4 linked regions of the Drosophila melanogaster genome follow. The protein of the gene in region 4 interacts with the protein of the main gene of each other region in a pairwise test. Each region holds a gene or a part of one and is shown on either strand. Other genes may lie near its edges.

Region 1 (5,865 bases), on a different chromosome or scaffold from region 4:
TTGGATGGATTAACGTTTAAATTATTATAGTTACATTATTATTTTTAAATTAATTTTTTTTTAATTTAGTGAAAGCTATGCATTTTAGAGATCTGTTTGCAACGAAACGAGCTTGATCTATTTGAATTATAGGGTACTTTCTCTTCGAGTTGTATCCTTTAACAGTTTTTTACAGCCCAGCTAAACGCACTTCCCACACAGATTTGTGTGTGTGCGCCTTAATTGGGGCGTAGTTGGCTTTTTGGGCGCGCCGACCCGGAGTTTGGGTAATTGCTGCCACTTGAAAGGCTCCGGGTCGCATAATCGCCTTGTCAGATAGGGCAAGACACACGTTGAAGGACCCGCGGAGGGGGTGGCCCATGAACAAGCATACTGGGCGTTGGGCGTGGCCAGTTGGGTGGGCCAGTGGACTGAAGGACCAAAGGACTCTGTGCCAAAAGAGACAGAGAGGTGTGTGTTGATGCCACCACGCACGGTTGACTCGCTTGATCTTATTACGCCGCGCTTGGTTGCCTGGGAAAAGTCAGAGGCAGCTGCTCGGATAGCTCGGATGGCTGGTAAATGGCAAATGGTTACCGGCAACCCGGCCTTTGTGACAGTTTTATCTCTGGCCAGCAGAAGCTATTGCCAAGCTCTTGCCATCCTCCTGCCATGGGAAAGCCATCGCGCTGAGTGGGCCTAAGAATTTTGCATGTTTTCGCACAGGTTTTTGTGGTTTTTGGTAGCAAGTGGATTTGCATACGCCACGCGGCTCCAAAAAACGGGTTAGGCTTTAGCCAGTCTTGGTGGATCAGGAGTTCCCCCTGCTAGGGACCATTGATTTCCTAGTCATGGCAACTAATTTCCATTCATCATGTTCGGTACCTCGAATGGATCAATAATCCGGACTCCTCCCTTGGAACAATCACAAACAATGTGACAGCTTTATCTTTCAGCACCAGTCGCCGTCGCAGTGAAAATCCATTTCCAATTGTGAATGCCGAGCGACAATTGTCGAATTCAATTAACGCCTGCGGCACCACCGAGCGTTACTTAACGCCGACACCCACCCAACGACCTCCGCCTCCTGCCGCTCCTCCTACTCCTCCTCCTCCTCCTCTCCCCCGGGAGTTTCCAGCGGGTGGGCAAGGACGAGCCGTAGCTGTGGCCGTAGCTGTGGCTGTTTCGCCAGGGTAACGGCTATGCAGTGTCACAATGCGGATGTGGATGTGGATGGGGTCCTTGGAGTGGGCGAGATACATACACTATCAGTTTCTATGAACCACACGATGCAGGACGTGGGCGGGGGGCGGGAGTGAGAGCGTTTGCGTGCTGCGTTGCCTCCGCCGATTGGCCGGAACGCGGCTGCAACGGCAACGCATCGGCTGCGGAAACGGCCACGGATAAGGCTACGCTCTGCCGCAACGCTCTCTGGCCGGAACTCGCCGACCATCCACACCAAATTCTACTACCCCCAGAGCGTTCACAGAGCGAAGGCGGGCTGCACGGACGTCATGCAATCGCACAGTGGAGCAAAAGTTGCAAGCTGGATTGTACTGAACTTGCTCGGTTTTTGCTCATAACATTAAGTTTGTGTACCAAGTTAGAAAAACAATTTTGACACTAAACTATTAGTTTCAAATCAGGTGGCTCATTCTTAACATTTCAAAGTAGCTTTAATGTAAAAGGTCATGGTATCATGCTTCTATAAGGTTTCCTTTCTTCCCAAATATATTACAATGTAATCCTAAAAAGTTTTGAACTCTTAAATCACAAAGATAGTTTAGTTAGCTGCACTTGAGTATCATCACAATTTTTACTACTAACCAACTAATCAACTAACCAGATTAGCAATGTTTATCTACAAAGGTAACTGCGTATTAGTCACTCTCTGAATATAGTGGCTTTACGTAATTACCCCTAATTTCAATGCGGTTTTCTATGCTGTTGAAATCGACCTAGCCCACTAGCCTCTAGCTTCACACTTGACCCACTGTGCCCGTGTCGATTTCGCTCCCGGAGGACGTGTCACCTGGCCCCCACCCCTGCTGCCGAATCTGGCCAATGGCAGCTCACCGTCGGCGCAGCGTGCGACGCATGCGCACCGGGCCAGCTCTCTGATTGGCTCTCATTGGCTGGCGGTGGGCCAAATGGGGCTGAAACCGACGCGGACGTCGCAGCCGTGAAAAACCGGTTACACCAGAAAAACGGTTCGTCCGTGAGTCCGTGAACGCTTGTGTCAGTGTGTGCGGGCCGCGTATTACGAGTGTGTTAGTGAGCGGCGGCTTTTCGGTGGCGTTTTGGGCCGCTCTGCTTGGCGGCGCTTCAGTAGAAATTGTCGGCTGATGGACCGCGGGCGAGGCACGAAGCCAACTCTCAATTTCCACTGCTACCGCCACTGCCACTGCCACAAAAATTGATCGAATCGATGCGCCGGTCCCGCGATTCGCGTGCAGTTAGTCGAATTTTTGACGGTCGAGTGACAAGGTGCGTCGCGTTCCGAACTCCCAAATAAGAATCATACAGAAGCCATTAGCCGTCGCGCCTCCGAACTGAGTAATCGGCCATTATCCGCGGAATAAGCCACACGGTGCATGCAAAACTCGAGCGGAAAGTGTTGTGCTCAAGTGATCAAAGGATTCGAACCAAGTTGCGGCAAAGTTATTGGATAGCCGGCGAATTCAGTGCTCTAAGTTTAAGGTGAGCACATCTTTTGAATTATATATTTCAAAAGTATAACCATCTAGGAAAGATACTATTCATGGAAGATTATCCGTTTTTGGTCAAGCTTTTATGCTTGCACAACGTTTTTAAATTGAGCTTCACCAAGTTATGTTGAATTGGTAAAGTTTAAGTGTTCATTTGCTATCTAGATTATAAAAAATAGAACATAAAAAGATAAAAAACTAGCAGATTCAAGTATCTGTTATAATATTCCATAGATCGTTTATAACGAATTGTCATTATTATTGGCATAAATTAGTTAGAATACATTTGCTTGGATCTGAAAATAAATTTGAGCTTTTATTTGAATCTGCTTCATTAAATGAAATTAGATGACAACTTTATTAGTTCACTGACAAGTTTTTAGATTGTATATTTTGTTGATTTGGATTTTACGCCAGATGTGCTATCTCGTTTTCTACTCGAGACCAGATAAGCTTAATTGAACTTGGTGAAAAGTGCACACATTGCATTTTGAGTGCAGACACATTCTAATCCGTAATATTATGCCAACACTTGACAAAAGCTAACGACGATGACTTATCGGCGTCTTAATTAAGATCTGGTCGCATCCATCGACCTGCCCATAATGACCACCATAAACGATCGTAATCAATTTGTTTGCGCATAATTTGCTTTCTCAACAACTAAATCATTAAAAATCGAGTCGCTCCCGATCAGGTTGCGGCGTTTTTGAAAGACTTTAATAACGATATTTGCTTATCGAGTTCGACACATCGGTCTCAAGTCCGACCTCGTCCCCCCAGACCCAACGCCCTGCCATCGATCGGCTTATTTCTTAATGAACGACGATCTGATCTAACGGATCGAGTCTGAACGGAACCAAACGGGGCGATCTTCATTCAACCGGCGGCGTTAGTTTCGGCCAAGATTCGATTCCAATAATATTCGAATAATATTCATGTTGTGAATGAAGTGGAAGATGCCACCGGATGGCCTGAATCGAATTTGCAATGCAAAACTACGGCCAATTGAACTTCCGCCGCACCGAGATAACTCATTTAAAGCGGACCAATCGATCGTTGGCCAGACTGCCAACGATCGATGACTGCCTTTTTGGCCAGACTTTAGTTTTCCCACGACCACGGCGAGCGACAAAAGTCAAAAATCGTATGCTAATTAATTCTTTGTCATGCCGTCGTTTCTGGCTGCCATTATGGCCCATTGACTTGTGTGCTTTCTAAGCCAAAGCCCAAGCCACCGGCTTTCGGGGCTTTTGGCCATCGGCAACGAGGCAACGAGCCGTCGGACAACTTACTTAAGCGTGGTCCAGAAAGAGCAAGCTAATCATATTCAAATGGTGAAGCGTACGTTTTATTATAATTTTTTTATTTTAATTAGCGGCTGTTAATGCCCCGCTTGGCTCTGGCTTCGATCGATCCATTGATCTGCGGGGGGGGCAGCAAATGATAAAAAATAAAATCAAGGGAGAGGGTTCCGAAACAGAAGCTCGGCCAACCTGTCGGTTCCACTTTCGGTAATCGCACGAATTTAAATTATTGTATGTTTAACTAATTTCTATCGGTTTTTATGTCTGTTCCGCTTGACATGTGCACGGAGCTAATTGAGACTTACGAGTTGAGGATTGTGGAGAAATCGGTAGCACTTGGGGAAGATACTAATTATACTCGTATATTATCCCCCCTGAAAACCAGAAAGCGGTTCTCGAGAACCCAGATTAGCAACATCCCTATATATATAACTCGCAATTTGGCCTCAAGATCGCATTCAACATTTAAAATTGTAGCCGTTGTGGATCTGGAAAAAACCTTTGCTACGCGTTCACATTTTATAAGGTCTCTTAAAATTAGAGGGGATTTTTTGGTCTCACCAGATACTTTGGATCACTGCTTGTTAGTTAGATTAGATATATTTCCAAAAGTAATACCTCAAATTTAGGTTTTTGTGTTCTGCAAGATACATTTTTCAGCATTCTAAGGATGGATCGTACCCAATAATTGATAATTAACACGTGTAGAAGTGGCAAAGCAAGTGGAATAGTCGCATATTTCTAGGGGTTGCTACTATGTCCGGAACTATTTAGTTTTGACTGCTCACTGGCCTCGATTGGGCCACGAAAAATTCCAGAGAAATGGGCGAGCAGCACGCCAGAGGGGAAATTAACCCTTTCATTGCGGCCAAATTGGATTTGGCCGGAATGTCTATTTCACTTTCTACAAAACCGAGTGGATTTGCAATCCTTATCGCACTGTCGGCCAAATCGTGGCCCCGGGCCAACTGCTAACTTTATGGCCTTAACGGCCAGCACGAGTTTCCCGTTCGCGGTGAGTGGTAACCGAAAAACTGAGACGGAGACTGAGAAGGTCCAAAAAAAACCTAATGAACAACTTAATTTCGAGTTCTTTTTTTCTCGTTCTGTTTGGTGTTTTTTCCGTTTTTTTTTTTTATTTCAAAGGGGGAGTGTGTGGTGCGTGCGGTGGTTCGGTGGCTTAACACGCGCATTTCGGTGGTTTTACGAGCTGAAAAGCGGCAAGGGAGCTGGACGAAGGACTCCCGGGCTCGGCAATTAAATCAAATGTGAATTCCATAATAACATGGCCATGACAAAGTGTGGACCGTCGGCCGGCAGTGGCAGTTACAGTTTTTGATTTATACGGTTCTTCAGCGCGTTTTCATGCCTCTGACAGGCTGGCGACAGGCTCAAATCCTGGCCCAAAAAGCATTAAGTAGAAAAAAAAAAAAAAAATAAAAACAGGAAGCGGAAACCACCGGCCGCAAGTTGGTGGTGCTGAAAGCCCATTTGCATATCTCTTTTGGGCCGGTTGCATATTTAACGAAATGAGCAATTGGCCAAAATTCATTTAATTGTTACCCCTGCCTGGCTAACTCTATACTTAGGAGTACGACTATAGCGACCTGGCCTAGATGGAGGGGGGGGGGGGGACCTTCTCGATAATGGGCCAGCAGTTCACGCTGCGCTCGGAATGTGCCTGATAAGCAGCTAATTTGAGATACTCCCTGGCACTGGGCGCTGGGCAATGGCCAGTGGTAACTGGTCACTGGTCACTGGACATGGCCATTGAGCACATAAACCACTGCACATTAAAACCTTCGGCCGCGTAGTTTTATAAAATAATTAAGTTTTATGTATTTTCCTTACTAGATTTTCACTGGTTTTTG
Region 2 (5,903 bases), on a different chromosome or scaffold from region 4:
ATTAACTGAAGTTCAGACAGTTAGTTCCTAAAATTGAATTATTTCGGCTTAACTTTGACTCTTTCTAATCCCTCTTGAAGTAATCCACTTTGAATGCTAAGCCGATCTTCGTATAAATTCTATTGTCATATTGTGCTGCTCCTTTCATTCGAACTAAATCCATTCAAAAATTTCACCCTTGAATAGAACTCTTAAGATCTTTTGTTGGTCGGATTGCTACTTTTTCAGGCAATCTATTGTGTTATAATTTCAATGGGTCAATTCTTATTTATTGGAAGAGTTTATGCTAATAAGTGTAGAAGCACTAAGACTATGATTTATTAATTCAAATGCAATTGGATTATGCTAATTGCACACAAATCTTGGTACAAATTATTTATATATTTTTTTCTTCGACAACTTTTGGAACCCAGCCCAAAACTAAACATGTAAACTGATAATCACCTTTCCGCTGTCTGATTTCATTGATAGCATTAAAAATTCATATTCCCTAGACAACATCTAATTTCCCCATCAAAATTGATGAGTTCCCGTTCCAGAACAACAATAAATGAACTGGTCTATCAGGTGAATTATACACACGTGCCAAAACGAGGCGTGTCCATATAGCCATTTCAATTTAAAACCCGAATATGGCGATCCCTAACGAGCCATTGTTCTGCGGTTTTATGGTAAATCTAAATTCATCAAGTATTTTGTCACGATTTTAATTAATTTCGATTTCAATTTTCCTGCCACAAGGCAATTACCAGCAACATTTTCCCCTGCTGCTGGTGCAACCGAAAAATGATAGTTGGTGGCCCAAGATGGAGAGGAAAACCCACCCAAAGAGGTAAAGCGTAATAAACTTTTATGGTACTCCCTTTCTTATGCTAAAACTCTTTTTGGACACAAAACCAAATGGCCCATAAAGCAAGACAATGAATATCCAAAATAGATCTCCACTGAGGCGAAACAAAAGCCAATAACTTTATAGAACCGCAACCAAAAAATACAAAAAAAAAATAATAATAACTCAGACTGTGAGAGCGCGGGAGGCGTTCTACAAAAAAAAAGCTTAAAAATGAAGGAAAAAGTAAAGCATTTAAAAGAAATCAAGAGATGTAGATGACGATGATGATGATGGTCTGAGGTTGAGGCTGAATCCGAATCCGAATCGGTATCTGAACCCAACAGAAGCTTGCGGCAATTGCGTTTCCTCTTTGGCCACACGTTCTGGACAATTAAAGCCCCAGCCGAGCTCCGAATCTGAATCGAGCCAAGTTAAGACAGCGACCACGACCGAAAACCGAAAACAGAAAACCAAAAAAACCGGATTCCAAGCCGAGAAGGAGCGAAAAAGACGGCGAGAGCGACCACTGGCCACTGGCACTGGCTACAAGTGAACTGGTTTACAAAGAAAAGAAACAGAAATGAAAGAAACATGTGAAAAATCACGATCTATAAAGCCGATGCACTTAATACCCTAGGCAAAATAAGTAAATAATACTATAGATCAAACTAGAGTAGACTTGTTGAAAAAAAAACACTGGAATAAATAAGAAGCTTATAAACTATCAGCTTATTAAACTAAGTTTGCCTAAATTTCGTAAAATATATTTTTAAAACCTAACGCGATGCTTTGAAATTCTGTAAAATTAAAGTTTTTCAGAAATGTAACGTTATTAACACCGATTAATATTTTTAAATAATATTTTACAAATTGTGTACACCATTTTCAAACGAAGTACCCTTACCAAGAGCACCCATAAGAGACCCCCAGAATTCCAAGCGAAGGTTTTTCGAGTCCGGCTCGAACCGACCAACTCGAACTGAGCGCCACAGCAACAACAATGGGGCAAGCGGGTGGTTCAGGATGGTGGGGAAGTTTGCGGGGGGATGGGGGACGTACTCCACCGTGGACTGTGCGGCACCACACTGAGTTCAGTGGCAATGACAGTGGCACATGCAGTTGTAGTGGAAGCCGCTTGTCGGTCGACAGTCCGCCAACCGCCAACGTTGTTGCGCTCTCTTTCCTGTTTTTTCGCCCCGTCTCATTCTATTTGTGGAGCAGGTTTTGAGATATATCTTGGGTCTTTCTCTCTCTCTCCTTCTCTGTCTGCGTACTCGTTATATTTTTGTACTCGCTGCCTTTTTGGCCAACGCAAAAAATACCAAAATAAAAAAATAATAAACGTAATTAGCTAGCCCTACGCCACAAACAGAAAACAAAAAAAAAAACAACAAAAAATAAAACAAGTAAAAATAAGTGGTGTGGAATTTTTGTGTTCATCTGGGAAGGCAGGGCCTGTTCTCGGCGGAATCTTACCTGTGGGTTAAACAGAAGAAAGCCCCAGGCTCTTTGGGCTTTATCTTTGCGTCCTAAAGTATCCAAGTAGTTGTTTCAATATGATTTTGCTGGTTTTTTGTCAGTTTGTAAGCTTTGAAATGCTTGGCATTGTTTTTGGTTTTTAAAGTAGTAATTTATATCATTTAAGTGGCACTTGAATTGTATGTTGTTTTTTCTTGTTGTATTTGTTTGAAGACTTCTGTTAATACGATTCTGTGAATTTAAAAGTAAATAATTTTATTAAAATTTTCAAAATATTTGTCGGAAATTTTTTGTTATATTTTCAGGTTTGATTTTAATTTTAACAAGTATTTCACCGAATCATTCTCAAGTAAATGTATTTAAAAAAACACGCACACTAAGGGACAATTTTGAGATTCAAATCACGGCACGATCGCCCCAGGGGGTGGGGCTGAGGGGGCGGCAGGGGGGCGGTTACGGGAGCAGCAGCAGCATCAACGGCAGTCAGCTACCACAAACCACGTAGTTTTTTTCCTTCCAAAATCCACGTACAACTCGCGCACAAACACACGATGTATTTGTATCTCACAGATATGAAAACCGAACGAAGAAAAACCCGAACCGAAACCTCAACCTCAACGAACTGAAAACCGAACGAGAACGAGAGATACACGGCAGCTGAAATGTGTTTTTCTACATTTTGTTTGAAATAGGAGCTGAAGCCAGTGCAGCTACCAATTCGCTCCTCAAGTAGTCCCAAACTCTTCCCACACACAGAGTCAGTTGCAGTTGAAAAGCGCTTTTCTCGAGGCAACTGGCGATGCAACAAGTTCACTCACACACACACACACACTAGCGCTCTGGGCCCGCTCAATAAGATACATCGGCGGCGAAAGATACAGATAGATATAGAGCGAGAGGCACTCACAATGCAGTTCACTTTTCCAACAGCTATTACCAGCGATCCGCGCGCAGGTGCGTTGGCCACGATCAACTCTCGAAGACTGAGCCACGAACCCAAGAAACAGGGCCCGAATGGAAAAAGAGAGAATCGAGAGAATCGCGGGCTGAGAAATGCGTAGAAAGAGACAAGCGACGAGTAGCGAGCAGTGGCACTAAAACCAGCTTAGTGCACTGTGGAAAAAGTTTTAACAATTCTTAAATATCTGAAGAGTAAGGCTCTAATTTTCTGTAAATAACAACAGTATAAATCTATCTGCTTAAATATACTAGATAAATAATGGATGCATTTACATATTTTTCTGAATTAACTAGTAACTTATATTCAGTTTGAATATAGTACGACATTTCTTTCAGTGGAGGAGAGGAATTAAACCGAACTCAACCCAAACCCAACCGGCCGCCAGTCGCACGCTGCTAAATGGACGGATGGGCCCGTGGACGGACTTATATGGAGACTGGCACTGGCGGAGCGTGGAACGTGCATTCGTACGACGAGTTATTGTCAGTTAGAGCGCTACCTGTTTACCGACCGACTACCGACTACCACCGACTGCTTTTTTTTTTTTGGCCCAGTCGAGAGGGTAGGGTACAATTGGCCCGGGTGTTGCCAGATTGCCGTTGCTGCTGCTGCCCATGGATCGTTATGGTGGCTTCACCCGAAAAGGAGGAGGAGGGTGTAACTCTGGTAGTTCCCTGTTTATTGTTATGCCTTTTTAGTGGGGGTGTATTTTGTTCTTCGGCTTTTGTTGCGGTTTCATTTAGGGGAATGACTAATCAGAAAGCATTTTTAGGGAGGCAAGGTGATAAGGTTTCTTCGAAGAAGGGGTTGCCAAGTCGAAAGTTGGGGTGAAATAAAGTGCATTACTCACACGACTATATATCTATATTATGACAAGTTCCAATGTTCTACTGATAAGTAAATATTTATTTGGAATAATTAGTTGGTAGCTTTAGGGAAAAATATTTATACATATGTATTTAAATATACACTGATGATTAATCGGCAGCCGAGTTATACAATTCATTTATGGAAATAGGTCGTAAAACAATATAAGTCTAGAAACCATCTTATCGCCAGACTGACTTTTATTAATGGTAATTAGTCCTTATAAAAGAAGGCGAGCACGGGAACTTGGAAAAAAATAAAACATAGGTAAATGATTGATTCGAGCTAGGCTATGTAAATAGGTCTTATATTATTATAATAGACTGTAAAATTTCTATTCTAACAATCTGGCAACCTCTGCTCGCAATGCAGCATCAATGCGGTCAAGTGGTAAAAGAAAAGACGTTAACAAAAAGACCAAAAATCAGCTAGGGTCCCAAAAGTAGAGGGAGTTACGTTTCGGCCACGACGGTGATCATGGTCGTAATGATTCCGAGATGCAGAAAAGAAAAACCCGAAAAGTACCCAACAAAAGAGAGTCCGTAGCCATGTAATTAAGGTGCTGCACAGTGGAACTAAATTGTGGCTGCTGCCACTGCAAAAACAGTAAGTGGAAATGGAGATACAAAGCGGCAACAGGCAGAAGACCAGAAATAAGTGGTAGAAAAGAGAAGACGGAAAAACGGTAGCTGCCTCATAGGGCGAGCGAATTGTTATGCTAGTCGTCGTCGACTTCCCCCATCAACAACTGTTGCTCTTGCTGCACTCGGAAAATAATTTTCAGCATATATAAATAACAATAAGTAAATAAGAAATAAAATAAATAATTACCATAATTGGTCTCCCTTATAATTGGATTCCACAATACATAAAATTGAAATTGACTATTGTTTAATAATAATATCTAATATCTAACCCTTACCTTGCTCTTTTTGCTTAAAATAAAGATGTACAAATAAGATATATATGCTAATGCGAACCATAAGATCGTTGTGATTTTTCTGAGTGCCCGTCGGTTGAAGTGGCTTCCCTCCTTGCATATTTTGCATCGCTTTACGATTTTAAAATAAATTACTTGAAATTTGTGTAAAACATGTGGCCAACTCGGAGTTCAGCTGGTAGTTTGTAGCTAGAGGGCCAAAAGCAACAGGTTCATTGATCGCATTCGAAATGCTTCGTTGGCCCCAGCAGGTAGCTGGTGTGTTTGATACTTTTGGGCTGGGCCTGGGACCATATCCGAATCTGAATCGGGTTCCAATGGGAATCGGATCGTTGAGCCAAATTAATGATGTTTAGATGCATTTCAATGCCCCCGGGCTGTCAGCAAGAGGCACATTTGTCATTTGTTCTTGGTATATTTTTTATTTAATAATTAAAGCTCTTATTTAGTTTTCTTTTTTCCTTTTTCTGTGTTAGGTTTTTGCTGTCTCGTTTTCCACTCGATGAGTAACAACATAAAATGGCTGACTCTTATGTATATATCATATAATCATCATAATGCATAGATTTATTATCTAATTTTTTACGCCTCGCCAAATTGGAAATCTCTATTTAAAATATATAAAATATATATTTATATATATATATTCGTTACCGTATTAATAAAAACGAAAAGAAGCTTCAAAATTGTTGCATCCTCACTCAATCTCGGTATTTGAACACTGACCCAAAAAAACAGGAAATCAGCATTTTAAAGATCATATCTTTATATGACAAAGTAACTACTGGATTCCGAATTAATCGCTATTATATTATTGTTTGACC
Region 3 (4,252 bases), on a different chromosome or scaffold from region 4:
GTGCACCAACAACCACAACAACCTGTGCACCAACAACCACTACAACCTGTGCACCAACAACCACAACAACCTGTGCACCAACAACCACTACAACCTGTGCACCAACAACCACAACAACCTGTGCACCAACAACCACTACAACCTGTGCACCAACAACCACAACCACGTGTACACCAGGTATTACAACTACGACATGTACACCAGCAACCACAACAACCTGTGTACCAGAGACCACAACAAGCTGTGCATCATCAACAACGACAACAGAATGTGGACCCGTAAGCGGAGTCTCCGGATCTTCGAAGGCGAGGCCATCGTCTGTGAAAGTGCGACCAGCGAGACCCGTGCGCCCTGCCGTTCGTCCCGCATTGGAAATCGATGAACTGTCGGCTCCCAAAGCCCAAGAGCTAACCATGTCCACCTATACAAAATACGTGTGCCGCAACAAGCCAGATGGCTTCATGTTGGCCTCCCTGAAGAGCTGCTCCGACTACTATATCTGCCGATATGGAAAGCCACTGTTGGTGAGCTGCGGCGATAAATACTTCAACGCTCTGAAGGGCATTTGCGATCTGCCCGAGAACACGCGTTGCGTGCAGCCACAAGCATAAAACTTGACGATGGCTTCCTAATCGAAATCACCAACGAATAGCACTACCTGACCCCACCTTGATATTTGTGCCCGATCGATTCTTTATCATATTTACTAAAATTTCAATATATGCAAAAGCTAATACAAGCTTAAAAAATAAATCTAAAGTATCCGTACTCCTTTTAGTTCAAAGCTTAATAAATACGTGACAACGCATTACATTCAATTTAAACCCCATAGTAAAGAGAAGAACAGGCTGCAAACATACTTTTAGCCACCAGCTATTTGCCAAGACACGTCTGGCAGTGGAAAGAACAAAGGTGCAAAGGCACAAGATGTGTTCTAGCTTTTTCAACATTTTATGTAAAAGGCTTAAGCGGATTCGCGAAAGGATTGGTGGACAAATTTGTTAGGGGCTGCGATTTCCATCTGCCTTTCCCCACATTTTATTATGGTCTTTAATGAAAACAACGGGAACATATTTTTATTATGCTATCCAATGTAATTGCCATTGTCCGAGCTGAAAGAAAAGGATGTTGATTAGATGGTGCTTGTAAGGATATGGTTATTGTATAGAATAGATTTATAGATATATGTTGGGCCATATGTGTTGATATATTACTGAACGAAATTTCTTTTCCAGTTGGCTAGAATCAATGGGGACTGAATGTCGAAAGTCAAAGCTCGCACAGTAGGCGGTCAAAAATCAGTGCCAATAAACAAGGAACAGGAATGAAAAATTCGCAATAAAGCCAACACATGGCCCTCTTTCCGCGCAGCCCGTTTACAGCTCCTCGCTTTTTCGCGTTCTTTTTGGAAACGGAAACGCTTGCCAGGTCTGTAAAATAAAATCGGCTTTACCCTTTTGCAAATGCAGCTGAAGAATTCAAATTAGAGTTTTGATTACAATCGAACGCCACAGCCGCCGCCTCCGCCTGGCTTTTTGCAAAAGATTTATTGAACTGCCACGCCCCTCGAACACGCTAACCGCTCCCCTTTCTCCCACCCCCATCAGCCACCCGCATCCACCGAAAGTCGGTGAAATTTTTATTACCAACGCGCGGCACATTGTTTTGGGCCGTAAGAAAATTTCAATTTGCCCAGCATCCCACACACGAACGGCGTAACGTACTCACCTGGTATTAAATTTCTTGGGGAATGGCTCACACGTTTCTGATATCCTTCTGAAGCCTAGCAGGTGTACAAGCCATACGGCCAACACGCTGGGCCGCTTGGTCCGCATCCACTGGGTCCACAGCAGGAATAGGGTCCTAGCGAGAGGGCACAAGGACTACACCAGGGTCCGCACCATGGTCCGCAAGGACCCGAAGGTCCATAGCCATAGGGACCGCATCCATAACCGCACATATTGTTGCTTCGGGCAGAGGCTACTTTATAGAAACACACCTTCGTCGTATTTTTTTTTTTATTCAAAACTCACCTAGGCTTCACGGATTCAGAAACGGAAAAACTTAAGGTGTTAACTTGGAATTTGGATAGTGAATTTTTATTCAGAGATTTTCAGTGCTGTTTTGGCCTGACTAGAGAGCTCCAGATAAAAATTCCAACTGATCGTTCACTAGCAACATACCTATTGAAGTAGAAAGTTCGACTTGAGTCCTTTTTCATGGCATACTATAGATGTTATTAAAGTAAAGTTAAGTTGGGGAACAGAATATGGAATCTTTTCAGCAAAGGAGTATGCCAAATATGTCGAGAATTATACATTATTTATGTGCTTAAGATTTATGGCTAAATGGTAATGATACAGCATAAGCATTACAGTTGGTAACAAATTCATATTGCTTTGTCCTGTCTAGAAGCCGTGTACTGTAACCTAGTTGCCACATAAAATTGCGCGGATTATACCCCCAATTGTGAAATGCAAAGTTTGGGTTATAAGCAGCCTGGTGCCTCCGGCGAAGCCGAAGGGATGCCGGAATGTAAGAATTGCCGGAGCAATTAGGAATGAAAATGCCGCGGATCCCATAAAAATCAACGAGCCGAGAGTGTTAAATTTAATAATACAATAACCAAATTGGCTCAGGGATCTTTAAATTTGGAAATTTAAATTAACAACGACCGTTAGGAAGCAAAGCTCCAATCAAAGCTAACTCCAGTTCGGCGGTGGTGGGTTCATCGAGCCCAGATTCGGTAGACTCGACCGGGTGGATGAATGGGTGGGTGGTTGGTTGAAGGGCAACAGCTGCCAGGATCTCCCCTCTCTCTGGGGATAAATTAGTGGTTTTGGTCTCTAATATAGTCGTCTGCTCGAATGCCCCTGCCATTTGTCATTTGTCACCCCTGGCGCCTGGCGCCGTTTTCTTGCCGCACTGATTTAATATTTATTTTATTAATTCAAAATTAACATAAAAAATTTTCGGAAATATTTTGACACTTGGCCTTCGCATGCCGAATCCCCATCCCAAAAAATCCGGGGCTTGTGGGGGTTGGCTTGTTATTATTTTGACACTTGCCAAACAATTGGCATGCGAAATGAAAACCCAGCTGCCTCCAAGGAGCAACAAAAAGAACAGAACGACGTCGGACTGAGGGAAAATTTTATTATGGAATTTCGTAAATTAAATATTTACACGACAGCTGTGCGAAGGTCTTAAGCCTGTTCGGGCGCCATTGGGAAGTTTATATACATGGCTTACCCTCGTTGATTCAATATTTTGCTTGGGCAATAATTGAATTTAATAGATGACTGGGACATTCCTTTGGAAATGTGGTTGTGAAGAGGCGGTAGTGCAGTTATATAGTCAGTTTTCTTTCCGTTACGATTAGCTCTTTAAGGGCAATAATTTAATTACCCCAAGAAGTCAGCTAACCAAAGTCAACAGCTAAATTGGGCGCTGGAAAATAAAAACAAAAGTAAATACTTCACAAGCAAGAAAAAAAAGAAAAAAGCGAAGGTGCGGAGCGAAAACCATTTGAAACGAGCAACGTAAACTCGCTGAATGTTGTGTCACTAATTCAGGTAATTTGTCACTTTATTTACATTTTAAATGAATGCCGCGCTGTTTGTTGTTGCTGGCAGAGAATGGTGTGGTGGCTGGGGTGTTGGTGCTTCTGGTAAGGACAGTAAGTAACCGAGAGAAAACCAATTTCCATTTTCATTTTGCGGGAAACGCAGCAAACGGAAGACAAAAACAAATGAGTAGCTGACGTGCGGGCCAAAGCACGAAACACGGCATACAGAAGCAGAAAAAACCCTTTTCCTGCTTCGCCGCCTTCTTGGCCAAAGGACCTTTCACCACCCTCCTACTCCTCAACCAACCAACACTTGCACACACACACACACACACACAGAGAGAGACAAAGTGTCGAAGCCAAAGGACAGGCGAGTAAAAAGGACTCGGCCACGACCAAGAAATGCGATTAAAATTTGAACATTGAGGCAAAAGGCAAAAGACGCTTTTGTGGCAACCGTCACAGTCGTGAGTCGAAGGATCCTGTCCTAATTTGAATGAAGTGGCAACATTGATAATAGCCCGCTTCTGCCGGAGAAGTCCTTATGCCGTCTCTCGCAGGTATCCTTTTTTTTTGGTACTAAAAGAACCAATACCTCAGTAAACACTTAAAAAGACCTTTGCAGAGGTCTTATCAACCTGCAGTAATAACTAAAAAAATTAAAATTGTAATAAACACTTTGTA
Region 4 (5,562 bases):
CGCCTAGATTCATACATGCAGACAGACGCACACATGCAGGCACATGTTTAGTCGTGTTTACATAGCAAAGCGCGCACGAAACGGGGCCTTTCGTAACGCTCGCTTCTCACGCTGTCTCCCTCTTTCTCCCCTTACCCAACCCCTCGCACTTACACCCTCTCTCTCTCACTCTCGTACACTCTTCGTTCGCATCGATGGCGACTGACGATGTCGAATGCGTATGCCCACCACTACAGATGCACATTTCGCACACTTTAACCGTTGCACATAGCCTCGTACATATAGATTTATGTATGTATATGTATATACATATATATCTATGTACATAGTTAAGCATATGACTAAATACGAATACCGCACTATTAGAAGGGGGTTTACATGGCCGTAGAGAAAAAAAAAACAAAAAACATCTTCCACACAAAGTACAAGAAATACCCAAACACACTCACGCACAGCTGACTAATTAGCAAAGCAAAACACCAAAAATCAAAACCCCCACTCAAAATCAAGAGAGATGCCACGAAACAGGGAGCCCGTAGAACGAAAGAATTAAAGAAAGCCACGCACTGGAGAGTCTCGTACCGTACAAACTAAAAAGCCCGGGAGACACCTGAAACCAAAGCCGAGAGATACCAATAAACTGCAGTGCCTTCCATTGACACTCGGCTTTTGAATACCCTAAAAACTGATTGGTGTACTTACGTACATTCATATATAAATTGCGTTTCGGTTTATATTGTGTAATCCTATTACACACATAAGCATATGATTGAATGAAAACAAGTAGAACCTTTAATAGGCTACAGTTGGTTCTAAATAAATTGAAGTGGACATTGCATTAAGTAAAATACATATCACAATGTGTTTTGGCGCAACTGTACGTTTAGTTTTCGGGACCAAATAACACCTGTTTTGATCTGACTGTACTTCGCGGGACTCGTTATTAACTGGCAGTTAACTTTTTAGCCCCGTATGATGGCGGCACAATGGAATTTGACTTGGACTCTTGGACCTGGCTAATTAAATTTTTTTTTTTGGTAAATGTTTAGAGTCGGGGCGACCTTTTGGAGCTGCGCCCGTTCGTGAACTCGTGTATTCGTTTGTTCGTGTTCGTGCTCGGTCGTTCCCGGTTTTCTCTGCCTTCTGGAACGGGGCCTGTCTTGAAAGCCGCAGAGCGCGCGAATACCGAAAACTTCTTGCATTCGACGGTGCGAAAGGGACGGGGAGAGTGATGGCATGTGGGAAAGGGAGAGGGCTAGAGCGAGGAGAGGTGGCCATCGAATGCTAAGCAGGGGCCTTTGCTTTTGCTTTTGGTGCTTGCCAAAAATAGAGCCGCCCCGCCACGCCTTCGCCCACAAAGAGCACCCACCCACCCACTCCCGCACAAAAGCAACAACATCATCATCACACCACCAATACCAAAACCAATACCAATACTGTGACCCAGCCAGCTCTCTGTGAACATGTGTCAGTGTGTGTGGGTCTTGTATATAGCATAGCTTAAGCTTTCCTTGTACCGTGGTTCAAATGCCAGGGGAAAATGGCATTATTATATTCTTATAGAGAAATAATATATACAAATAAATTTGTACAACTGTATGTAAAGAGTAAACATGTAACAAGGAAACACTAATTTTAAAGTAAATTTAGCTAGTTTGCATTATTTTTTACACCATTTATATGAGTAAGCCACAAAGAAGCTTGCCTTTTTTGATCTGCTTGATTCCCAGATGGTGTTACTAAAAAATAATGCGAATTTGAGAGAAAGTTTAACAATAAAAAGTTCAAATTCGAGATACATATGTGTAGAGTATTTAAAGAACTTAATTGTGAGGTTAAATATTCAACAAATGGTAAACTTGTAATCCCATAAATTCGTATTATTTTATAAAATTTTACTTTCATACTGAATTGGCTAAGATCCCTTAATTAATTTCCATAAGTTGCTTATGTCTTAACCACTGTGGGTTGTAACTCTGCAGCTACGTTGACGTCGGCGTCGCAGCTTAGAGCTAGTCGATGAGCGGAAGGAGAGAGAGAGAGCAGGCGTTCGTCGAGGAGGGGGCTAGCCGAATAGGGTGAGAGAGAGCGATGGCAGAGTAGGAAAATGCATAAGAAGGGGGGTGGGGGCGCAAAAGGGAGACGGACAGCAGCAACAACAATTCGGCAAAATGTTCGTGGCAGCGTTGCAGCGACGCCGACTGCGCTACGGGTGTTTGTTTTTTTCTCTTTCGTGTTTTCCGTTTTTCTTTTGCGCTCTGCATCCGCTGCCGCAGTAGGCGTCGCTGCCGGCGCGCTGCGCCAGTGTGGGTGAGCGCACGGCTGTAGGTTTGTGTGTGTGCCGTACACATTTTTCAGTTGACTTCGTTGAAATAATTTTCGTAACAACGATCACACTCGTTTGTGTATTGCGAAGACGGGCGGACGTGCGTCGGCGTCGAATGCGGAACAAGCGCTAAAGCAAACTAGCGAAAAAGTGCGAATATCAAAAGAAAAGAGAACCAAACAAATTGTTTTTTTTTTTCACCACGAGCGTCGTCGCAAAAACAACAAAAAGGAATTTAATAAACCAAAAGCAAACGAGGAGAGAGAAAGCAGCAACTAAATATAACAACAAATGCATTAAATAGTTTTGTTTTTTTTTTTGCCACACTGCCAAAATGCAGTTAGCGTTTGTTTGTGTAAGTGTACCACATGCATACATAATGTATAATTTATATGCCAAAAACAACAACAGCAATAGCATTGTGTGCAAAATGTTGAAATGAGCTCGAAAAACAACAAAAATAAGTGCGCGCATTAACACACGCACACTTGCAAAGGAAAACATCTAAAAAAATTATCACGTGTGTGTGTGTGTGTGTGTGTGTGTGAGACAGCCGGTCAGTGTGACCGTTTGTGTGCCAGAAAGAGAAGGATCGAACAAGCCGGCTGTTTATTTCTTTTATAGTTCTGTTTAAATAACAAATACACTTGCCAAAAGAATTTCATTTTGATGTGTGAATAATTAAAAAAATCAGTAAGACATAATGCAGTCTTTGTTAAATATATATTGACATATATGAGCATATATATAAATACATACACAAATAACATATCAAATTGAAATGCTGGCAGTACCAATCGAACTGTCATCCTAACAAGTAAATTTTTCAATACAGCTCCTAATATAAAACCAAACCAAAAGTGTGGATATCGAAAAGTCTGGAAAAGTACGATAACGCAAGATTACATAGAGCGCGAGCAAGACAGCATTCTAGAGCAAAAGAGCGAGAGTGTGCGGAGGAGCGATGGCCAGCGAGGATGTGCAGATCACTAGCGTCATCGATGCCAATGGCCAGAGCCTACCGCTCCACGGCAACAGTTTGGGCGGTCCCCTGGGACCGCCCGTCAAGCAGGAGCGTCCCGATGACGCCGAGATCCGCGAACTAGCTGCCAAAATGAAGGAGCAGCAGAAGCAACAGGCCGCCCAGCAGGCATCCCGTCAAGCGGCCATGCAGCACTCGAATGGGGGCGCCATTGCGGCATCCTCGGCCGGTGGCAACATGCAGCCGCCGATCACAAATGGCAATGGCCAGACCAATATCATGAACTACCTATCTCGTCATCAGAAACTACCCAACGGCACCATGCAGGTGGTGCCCGCCTTGGCCTCCAATGGCCGCTCGAATGGAGCCGTCAGCGACTCCGGCTCGGACAAGAAGTCCTCCACGGGACCCTGCGACGAGGAGTCCATTCAAGGCCACTTCGGCTGGGCTCAGTTCGGCAAGGTATCCATACCGTACATCTATCGCCAATCGGAGAAGTACTGCTCCGTGCGCATGATCGAACTGAAACTGCTGGGCAAATACCTTAACTGCCTGCATCCGGATATCTACTCCAGCTGCACCTGCGTGCGCAGCTACTACATCACCGATGCGGAGGCCCGTCTCTTCATCGAGATTAATCATAAGCATTGTGACGGCGAGTTCGGTCGCGACATCTTCAACCAAAAGGATTTGGTGGTGCGTCTCAGTGACGCATCCAAGTTCTATCAGTTCCTGGATATTTGCTATAGGAAACTAGTCTCCGGCAGCAAGACGCCGTCGGAGAAGTGCGGCTTTATTCGCATCAACAAGGAGTCCGTGGTGCCCTACACTGTGCGCAACAATCAGCAGGTTGTGCCGCTCTTTTATTTTGAGGGCGAGACCGAGAATCTAAAGACCAAAGCGGAGCTGCTCAATGGCTGGGACCTGGCTTATCTAAAGTTCTGCTGCAAGGTGCAGGGCATACGCAATGAGCTCTTCTCCAGCGAGAACGTGGCCGTGATTTCGCTGACGGACATCAAAAGCTACTTCCCAAATGGCACCGAATTCGAGGACTACTGGCCCAGCAAGGTGGTTGACTCCAATCTGCTCATTGGCAATCGGGCCAATGTCAACAACTCGGTCAATTGGACCCGTCAACCCTCGGCGCCGCCTCCAAAAGTGACCACCTCCGTTTCCGGATCGTCCGGCCCTTCCTCCTCCAGCGGCGGCAACATGGGCCAGAACACATCAGCCGCATCATCCTCCGCGAACACCGCTGGTGGCCAACAGGTGACCTCAAAATCTCAGCAACAGCACGCTGCCTCTGCCGCCGCAGCAGCGGCGACGGCGCATCAACAGCATCTGATGAAGCAACGCGCCGCCGCAGCAGCAGCTGCCGCCGGCGCCAATGGTGTGGCGAATGCGGCAAATAGTTTTGGGGCAGCCGCGGTAGCGGCCTTCAATTCCCAGGCGGCGGCAGCGGCGTCGATGCTCCAGCAGTCGCAGGGCAACAACAGGATGTTATCGCAGGCCACCGTCCAGGCTTTGGCCAGCAGCGGATGGATGTCCGGACAGACAAACCTGCAGCTCCACGCCCAGATGATGGTGAGTTGAGCACTAGGCTAGCTAACGTTTTCCTCCAATTAATGCACAATGTTTATCAAACTTTGGGATATCAAAGCTATTAGCAAAGTTTGAGAAGTAATGCCCAATCGTAATCTGGAATATAATATCAACGTTGCTATGGTATCATTTATTATACCCCAGCTACTGAACAATATTATAGATACAAGATTCTTTACACTCAACCGAATTATCGTTTTTCAAGCCTTATCTAGAAATTCGAGCCTACTTTAGAGTAATGCGAGTCGGTGTTTATGCAATGTTTGTGATATACATTAATCCAGCTCATTTGTGAATTGGCATTTTATTTTATTTCGTAAAATTGTAAATGGATACTTATTTATCACTAAGAGCTACTATTTTATACTAGAATCCTTCGGCTCAAAATCGAAATGAATGACATTTCCGGTACTTAATTGGTTTAACAAATTGTCTACCACTCCATACATTAGTAATGTCACACCCAATGTTAAATTACTTCTATTTTAATGGTATAGTATATTATAAAGTTCAAAAATGAACTGCTTAGAATGGCATTTAAAACTAGTTATTTGACTACCATTGATATAGAAAATCCAGGCCCGACTTTGGTGGAGACCAGTTCGAAAAAGGTGGAAATGGGATGTATTGGGGGTATTTTGGATGTATATGT

The links.
Region 1: the proteins of CG43736 (region 4) and Poxn interact in a two-hybrid assay, tested with the Drosophila melanogaster proteins (one large-scale study listed by BioGRID).
Region 2: the proteins of CG43736 (region 4) and bowl interact in a two-hybrid assay, tested with the Drosophila melanogaster proteins (one large-scale study listed by BioGRID).
Region 3: the proteins of CG43736 (region 4) and CG31639 interact in a two-hybrid assay, tested with the Drosophila melanogaster proteins (one large-scale study listed by BioGRID).

What each region holds. Positions count from the first base shown.
Region 1 is NT_033778.4:15,831,497-15,837,361, reverse strand, and holds the start of Poxn (Pox neuro), read left to right. Parts: upstream 1-2,306; 5' UTR 2,307-2,679; intron 2,680-5,848; 5' UTR 5,849-5,865. UniProt on the Drosophila melanogaster protein: Transcriptional regulator that specifies poly-innervated organs (chemosensory bristle). Also controls the number of neurons.
Region 2 is NT_033779.5:3,769,100-3,775,002, reverse strand, and holds the start of bowl (brother of odd with entrails limited), read right to left. Parts: upstream 3,304-5,903; 5' UTR 3,130-3,303; intron 3,084-3,129; exon of another isoform or gene 2,988-3,083; intron 2,978-2,987; exon of another isoform or gene 2,687-2,977; intron 2,543-2,686; 5' UTR 2,309-2,542; intron 1-2,308. UniProt on the Drosophila melanogaster protein: Putative transcription factor. Required for leg joint formation, acting downstream of Notch to pattern the leg tarsal segments. Functions in the terminal pathway during embryogenesis, acting downstream of tll in the posterior of the embryo.
Region 3 is NT_033779.5:6,152,916-6,157,167, forward strand, and holds CG31639 (uncharacterized protein), read right to left. Parts: upstream 2,227-4,252; 5' UTR 2,034-2,226; intron 1,981-2,033; 5' UTR 1,961-1,980; coding exon 1,784-1,960; 3' UTR 1,729-1,783; intron 1,113-1,728; 3' UTR 925-1,112; downstream 1-924. Other genes in the region: Muc26B (mucin 26B), read left to right, coding at 1-611.
Region 4 is NC_004354.4:6,866,100-6,871,661, forward strand, and holds the start of CG43736 (uncharacterized protein), read left to right. Parts: upstream 1-2,127; 5' UTR 2,128-2,681; intron 2,682-3,161; 5' UTR 3,162-3,290; coding exon 3,291-4,892; intron 4,893-5,562.